2 linked regions of the Coturnix japonica genome follow. The protein of the gene in region 1 interacts with the protein of each later gene in a pairwise test. Links are inferred from orthologs where the notes say so. Each region holds a gene or a part of one and is shown on either strand. Other genes may lie near its edges. The genes, in order: BMX and PTPN21.

Region 1 (4,318 bases):
GAACTAGTATGAAGCTTGTCACTAGTGACTTCTACAGTCAGAGCAAATACCTCCCCTGAACACAGCAAAAATACCTAAAGTGAGGGGGAAAATTCATTCTCTTCTCCAATGCAATTTTAATCTACCCCAGCCTTGTCACTCCTTCTGATGTCACATGTCAAATTGATCTTATTCTGACCCACCAGGAGGACTAATATGCATTGCCTATCCAAAAGGGAATTGATAGTAGGTGTTTGTAGGCATTCTGTCCACCCGCACAGAAGGCAGCCAGAGGTGTGAAGGCATGTCTCATAAAGCTCCACTTTTCCTCTTCAGACTGTTCCTAGTAGATAATTGCTGATTTCTGGGCTCAGTTAGGTTTCAGTGGATACATCATGTGGGTATGATAAGCATCATGCAAATATTCTCTTTCTGCTGTGTTCTCTGTGGTGAACAAGGGTGCACATAAAGTGCACAGCCTAGTAGAACACTTTTCTTTGGAGCTCCAGAGCACACTTGGCAAAGGATATTTGGTCTTTATACTTCGGTAAGATAACCTGAAACCATACTAAGTTTATAGAAAGGTTGCATCCTTCCTGGTATTTGCTACTTTATGATAATCAAGGTTAAGAAAAACACATTTATGCATGTACTTACATGTGGTGCAAGAAGATTTTTACTTACTGATCTTTTCTACCTTTCACCATTCCATAAATGTGCATTTGTTACAGTTGAAAGAAAGAAATGGAAAATTTCCAGCTCAGGGAACAAACTTGTCAGCACTAGGTCTGTTTTTCTAGTCTGTACATAGAAGGGCTTTCTTTGTTGTTGTTGTTCTCTTTGCTGCTGTAATGACTTCCATAATATGCTGCAGATGTAATACATTTGTGCATAGACTGTGCTCTTTGCCAGATAGTGTGCATGGCTTTAGAAGAAGAGATGCTCAGACAGTGAAGTAACAGAAGTGCCTTATTTAGAAATACAGTATATATTTATCTTCATTTTCCTATAATGCGATTCTTTCCCCTGAAGAATAAGTTAATCAAACTCATTTGTTTATGCAGTGTTAAATACATGCATTGTAACCATGTATTACTATAGATTTCAAAACACATATAGAAGACAATGACTCAATATATTCTTTATTACTTCTTCTACAGTTGGTGCTGTCATATTTATCAATAGTGATAATAAAAATTCCTACAATGTTCTTTTAGGGAAATAAAATGGAGAAAAAGATCATTCTAGAAGAAGTTCTTTTAAAGAAGTCACAACAGAAGAGAAAAATGTCACCAGCTAATTACAAGAAAAGGTTGTTTGTTCTGACAAAAAACAGCCTTTCTTATTACGAATACAGCAAAGAGGTAAAAACTCATTTTCTTAAGTAAACTATTCAAAGATATTCCAACCATCACCTGATTCTTCTAGTGCAAAACTTGATTAGAAGCGATGCATTAGAAAAGCAGGTGTACTCTGTTTTGAGTAAAACTGGAAAATTAGAGGGTTACAAATTCTTTTTTCAGTTCAAGAAATCACTTGGCTGCATGCTTAAGAGCGTCTCTATTCAGAACAACTTAGAGCTATGTTTGCCATTGAGCATCTGTTTGCATCCTTTGCAAGACAACAAAACTTAAGCAAGTAATTAACTGTGGCATATGTTTACATATTGTCTTGAATAGGGATGAATAGGGATGTTTTCCTCATTCAGGCCTCCCTCTGAAGTGATGTAAATAAGTGGCTTCAGAAATTACTTGTGTGAGGCATAATTAGTTCCCAATCTTATCCCTCATTCGTATAAAGCAGATGGTTAAGCTATCGATTTCTAGAGACTGACTGTGCATCACATGAGGGTAGATTTCACTCAGAAAGTCTCCTGTTGGGAATGCAAATATATTACCCTGGCAACTTATTTCAAAGTTTTCTCTCTTTTTGTGTCCCTCTGGTGAGTTATGTTTCATTAGGATCCTGCATGGAAACCCACTGAGAATATGCTCCTGCACCTTAGCAAAAAATACAGATGCCACAGCTAGGCTTCTGGTTTGCAGTTCAAGTGTCTTCCACTTAATTCCTCCTTCTTCTTTCTCCTTTCAATTCCCTTCTTCAGCTGTACTCTTACAACTGCAGCAGATGTTTTCTCAGATGTAGGGCTGTGTCCTGTAATTTGTAATTGACTTTAAAAGCAATTTTGATTGGTATATAAATGTGGTTGGGGCACCAAAATTGTTTTTTGTTACTATTAAAATTTAACAACCTTGAAGCTATGGAAGCTGGAGACATGAAATTACACAGAACAGTAAATCTAGAATGCTCCATACTGAGTTAACATTAGGTTACAATCTGCTTTATTTTCTCTTAGAAAAGAGGAAGGAAGAAGGGGTCTATCGAGATTGAGAAAATCCGATGTGTTGAGATGGTGAATGTTGAGGAATCAACACCTCCTGCAAGACAATATCCTTTTCAGGTTTGTCATGAAATTTGTTTCATGTTCGTTTCATGTGAAATGTTCAAATCATCCTAGGATTTCACTGATCACTCCTGCCCCAGTTGCCAATACCTGCTATGGCTGGTTGCCATACATACTCCCTAAAAATAGAAAATCTGTCCTTATTACTCAGGTCGTGACCTTGTTAAAATGTTTTTACTTGGTTGGGATAAAATTTGGGTCTAGAATTTTTTCTCTTTTGTTCAAATTTCTATCATATTTGATTTAATACATAGATCAATACACTTATGTGGTTATGAAATTTTTAAGGCATAATTAGGGACTTAAAAAATCTCATTTTAACTCTCACTATTGCCTCTCCCATCTTTTTGCCCAGTGTCAAGTTGAGGTTTTGACCCAAGACTGCCTGATTACTATTCTTAGGCCTCAGTCTGTAAATTCAAAGCTATGCTTTGTGCATGTACCAGAAAATATAGCTGCACAAAGCACTGTTCAGGAATTAAATAAGGAAACCGTAACTTCAGATTTGTTGCTTTTTATCTCTTTCCCCAGCATGTTCTCCCCAGAGCCTTCATCTGTATCAGTTTTCTGAGCACAGACAGGCCGTAGTTCCCCTTGGAGTACCACCTGGAGCAGCACAGCCACCAGCAGCAGGCTGCTTGATAGTGTGTTAATCAATGACTCTGCAAAAATTGCCATGGCCAAAGGCATCCTCTTGAGAAATGCTCAGGTTTTCACTTCCTACTTGCTCCTAACCGTCATTCCTTTCTTCCTTTCCCTTCTGTCTCACCACTTTTATGGCAGGGAATGGTGCACTTGTCTTGAATTATTGTGTTTATCTCAGGAATTCACAACTCAGAGAAGTGGGAAGAATACACACTGCAGTCACAGGATGGGGTCTCCATTGTGGGAAACTGGATCTCTGAAAAGGGGGTTAGGATTCTGATAGCTGATTTTCACCAGTTCCAGTGTGATGCTGTGGGCAAAGGAGCTAATGGCATCTTTAGACATTGACAGAGGCACACATTGAATAAAAGCAAGCAGGCTGTACTGCCTCTGTTTTGACAGTACTGTGAACTGCAGGAGAATACTGAGTCTAGTTCTGGTGGCTCTAATTTAAGAAAGATGTTGCAAACTGATGGGAGGTCAGAGGGGAGGCTTCAAAGTGTCTAGTGGATTGGATAACATGCCTTAAAGAGAAAAGCTCACAGAGCTCCACCATTTAACTAAAGAGCCAGAAAATGGATTGATCAGCCTGGTATGTTTACGAGACAGAGTACACATTTAATGACAAGTGCTCTTCAGTGTACAAACAAAGCAATAAAGCAATACTTGAAATGCATTGCAGATGACTGAAAAGCAATGTACACAAGGGAAAGGAAGCCCTGGACTTAACACACACACTCACACACACACAACCTATACTAAGTATCACCCAAACAGCAAAGCAGATGCTATTAATTATTAGGTAGGAATGAAATGAAGCTGGCAGAAAGTATGTTGAACACAAGAAAAATAAGCTGATTGTTCATATTGTATAGCTAATTTATTGGGTTACTTGCTGTGGGAAGTTGTAGATACTAGTTACTTGCTTTCAAAGACAGCTGAACTAACATATCCAAGGCAACAGAGTATGAATGCATCACCTTTAGATCAGAATTCCCTGATCCAAAACTGCCCCAAGCTTTTATTCTGCCTCAGTATTTGTTTCTGAGTACTTGGAGACAGGCACTGGCCTGTCTAACAGCAGCCAGAAGCTGGAAGAGGAGTCTGGAAAAACTGAAGTGGAAAAATGAGTTTCTTTGTGAATTGTAAGGTCTTTTGTATATAGAAGACAGGTCTATCTATAAATATTCTATGCTGCCCCTTTTGTCTTCAGTGGTTCTTTTGGATATG
Region 2 (3,824 bases), on another chromosome or scaffold:
TATTTTTATTTTTTTAAAGTGCTTGTGATGAGAGTACTATGAAGAGAGGGTGTTTTTTCTTGCTATTTAAACGGATCTCATTAGGGTATTGCAGACCTTGGTATAGATGTTTGTTCTTTCAGTTAGAACTGTTTAAAATTTTAGATGGGTTTTACTAAATTTAAACTTAACAAAGCTATCATAAACTGAAGAAAGCCCTTATTAAACAGAGGTAATGCTTTCCAGTAGAAATTTGCATGATCTATTCTGGTAAATATACCTTAGGTATCTACAACATCAAAAAAGCTGTGGTTTTTCTCTTCCCAATTGAAAATGTAGTGAATTTTGACTGAGATTTTAAGTCTGAAACATCAGTTAGCAACATCTTAAAAGAAAACATCTTTGTTGTTCAAGGTCTTGAACATAAGACTTGTTCTTAAACTTTACTTTCAGATAACCTCTTTGTGAGCAGTCAGAATGGATACTACTACCACTCTCAGACTAGCTTGGATAGAGCCCCTCATGACTACAGTGGTCGAATCCGCAATGGTAGTGTCTATAGTGCACATAGCACAAACTCCTTGAACAACCCACAACATTACTTGCAGCCATCCCCCATGTCATCTAACCCAAGCATTACTGGAAGTGATGTCCTCAGAACTGATTATGTCCCGTCACATAGACATAGTGCACTAATTCCACCATCTTATCGGCCCACACCAGACTATGAAACTGTGATGAGACAACTCAATAGAGGAATGGTACACACAGATAGGCAGAGTCACTCAATGAGAAATCTTAACATCAGCAATACATATGCTTACAGCAGGCCCGATGCCTTGGTTTACAGCCAACCTGAAATACGAGAACATGCCCACTTCACTTCCCCACAATCTAACCATTATCCATTTAACCTGAACTACAGTTTTCATAGCCCATCCCCCTATCCCTATCCTGCTGAGAAACGCCCAGTTGTTGGGGCTGTCAGTGTGCCTGAGTTAACAAATGTGCAGCTCCAGGCTCAGGATTATCCAGCACCAAATATAATGAAGACCCAAGTCTATCGACCACCTCCCCCATATCCATATCCAAGACCTGCAAATAGTACTCCAGACCTTTCTCGACACATCTACATTAGCAGCAGCAACCCAGATCTAATCACGAGGCGAGTTCATCATTCTGTCCAGACATTTCAGGAAGACAGCCTGCCTGTGGCACATTCTCTACAGGAAGTCAGTGAACCTCTAACATCGGCACGCCATGCTCAGCTGCAGAAAAGGAACAGCATTGAAATAGCAGGCTTGGCTCCCAGCTTTGAAGGAATAAGAATAAAAGAGAGGACCATGTCAGCATCTGCAGCAGATGTGGCTCTTCCAAGAGTTATTTCAGAAGGGTCACAGCCCAACATTCTGATAGAGAGAACAAAGCAAAAAGAAAATGAGCAAGATGAAGGTGTGAACTGTGATCATAAGAAAACCCTTTCAGATGCCACTATGCTGATTCACAGTAGTGAAGAAGAAGAAGAGGATTTTGAAGAAAATAAAGCTAGTACTAGCCTCTCTCCTCTTCCTGAAGATCAAACCCAGCTTTCATCCATGATGGGTGGCTATTCTCATGATTCTGTACTCAACTACCCCTATAGCTCAGTTGCTTCATCTGCTGGTCCTTTGCATATTCTTGAGCCTAAATTACATATTACAGAAACGGAAAAGAGAATGAAAGATATAAGCCCAGTTCATTTACTAGTGGAAAACCACATACAGAGGAGAGGGGAAGGACTGCTTACTCCATCTATGTCAGAATCTGACCTTACAACATCAGGGAGATACAGACTAAGGAAGGATTCTTCTTCAATAAAGAAGAGACCTGTGTCCGATCTTTTGTCTGGGAAGAAGAATATTGTGGAAGGCCTTCCCCCACTAGGTGTAAGTGGATATTATTTCTTGTTTTATGTTGTTTCAGGATGTTCTGTGTGGGGTTTCTAAGTGTTTTTGTTTGTTTGTTTTTAAATCAACCTATATTTTTAAAATATAAGAATTGAAAGTTACTTTAAGCTTTATCTTTATTCTTCTATTTTTCTCTCATCAACTTTGCTTGCTTATATTCTCTGCAGTGTGTGAGTTTTGTCTGTGTAGTCCTCCCACACAAATCCAACTTTGTAGCCTCCATCCATCTGACATAACTAACCTTGTTAGCAACTAGTTTTTAGTTCTAGATCCCAAATTCTAGCCTCCCTATCCTTACCTGTATCAGAACCAACTGTGTCTGTTCCACTGCCAGCTTTCTAATATTAGAACTCACTGAAAAATCAGATGTAGCTGAATATTTAACTTTTTAAAATTCCTTTGTCTTCTTAGTCTGACCTAGGAGGATAATCTGACACATTAGGCAATAAATTCTTTGCTTGTGAACTCTTCTTTCCTCCGTACCTCCCTCTTTTCATATCCTTCCCCTTTTCCCTTGCCTTCAAGTTGTTTTTTATCTCACTGAAGTTATTTCCTTCTTGCCATGCCCCTTTCTCCTACTCCAGTCTTACAAAGCCGTGAAAAGAAATCAATTGAACAACTGCAGTTTTCCCACTTCCTGCCATCCCCTCTTCATAGAAACATCAAGTTCTACTTGGGACTCTATGATTTCACTTGCACTCTTTACCACTCAGTATGTTTGTTTGTTTTTATATAGCTCCTGGCATATTTCACATGCTAATGGAGAAATATGCTTTTATAATTTGTTTGCTTTTTTTTTTTTTTTTTCCCCACCGTTGGTTCTTGCTAACTTTGCCTGCCTGAGTTTGTGTCAAATCATTTTCTGCACAAACTAGTCTGCAGTGGAACTACTATACAGCTTCTGCTGCTGTGTAGTATCTGTTAGAGCTGATGTTACAAAAGCTAACCTGAAGTAAACTGTGTATTTAAATTATTGCTGTGTGCTCAACTTTTCTATATGTGAGACTTCTTACTTATATGTGGAACTGATCACAGTTAATCAGTTTTAATTTACTTAAAAATTATTTTCCTAAATCTCCTGCCTTCTGTGTTACATGGATATTAAAAAAAAAAAGATGATAGCTTTCTCCTTATATTCACATTTAGATATACTCAGTTTGTGTTCTTTTTCTTCATAAGATGTTTTCAGACACTGATGAGTCTACCAAAATCACACATTGCCTTTTCTTTGTGATAGCTGAGAAAGTATTTAAATCAACATTTGAAATGAAGTTGATATTAAAACCTTCTTACTGAGCACTAACAGTGAAATACTTTCTAGGTTAGTAATATTTAAGAATACTGTTGCAGAGTAGAGAATTGTGGTTTTGTATTCATCATTAAGATGAACTACCTTGTAGCAAAAGCTGCCCCTGCAACTCCTTTTCCATTTTGCTTTTCAACTTTCCAGTGAGCTTCTACTGCTGTGTTTATGCTCACTTTTAAAAACAGTCTCAAGCTCTTAACTTTGTCACCTTATTCTTTACTGGCATTTAGCTTTTGGAAACATTGACCACCATTCAAGCAGAATATTTGCCCATATTTTCAGTGGTTTTGGTTTTTTTAATAGCTAAACTGAGCAATTGAAGGAATGATAGTTTTCTCACATTTTCTAAAAGGATAATCTGAATTTATCCTTACATTAGAATCTCCTGGTGATATTTCTCAGTTCATGACTCAAATCATCCTGTTCTTCTGTGTTCATATTTTGTATGTGCATTTTATTGCGAATGTAGTCAAACATTTTATTGTATCTAAATAACTTATGATCTCATTATTATGACCATCTATAGAGAAGCAAAGTGTCTGAAAATGGACTAGTAAAAATTTATTTATGTATTTATTGGTTGGATAGTGATT

Evidence for each region.
Region 2: the proteins of BMX (region 1) and PTPN21 interact in binary tests that used the Homo sapiens proteins (3 or more experiments, as listed by UniProt). The link is inferred for Coturnix japonica from reciprocal best matches to the Homo sapiens genes BMX and PTPN21.

What each region holds. Positions count from the first base shown.
Region 1 is NC_029516.1:109,895,270-109,899,587, reverse strand, and holds the start of BMX (cytoplasmic tyrosine-protein kinase BMX), read left to right. Parts: upstream 1-1,205; coding exon 1,206-1,343; intron 1,344-2,335; coding exon 2,336-2,440; intron 2,441-4,318. UniProt on the Homo sapiens protein: Non-receptor tyrosine kinase that plays central but diverse modulatory roles in various signaling processes involved in the regulation of actin reorganization, cell migration, cell proliferation and survival, cell adhesion, and apoptosis.
Region 2 is NC_029520.1:39,109,999-39,113,822, reverse strand, and holds part of PTPN21 (tyrosine-protein phosphatase non-receptor type 21), read left to right. Parts: intron 1-432; coding exon 433-1,904; intron 1,905-3,824.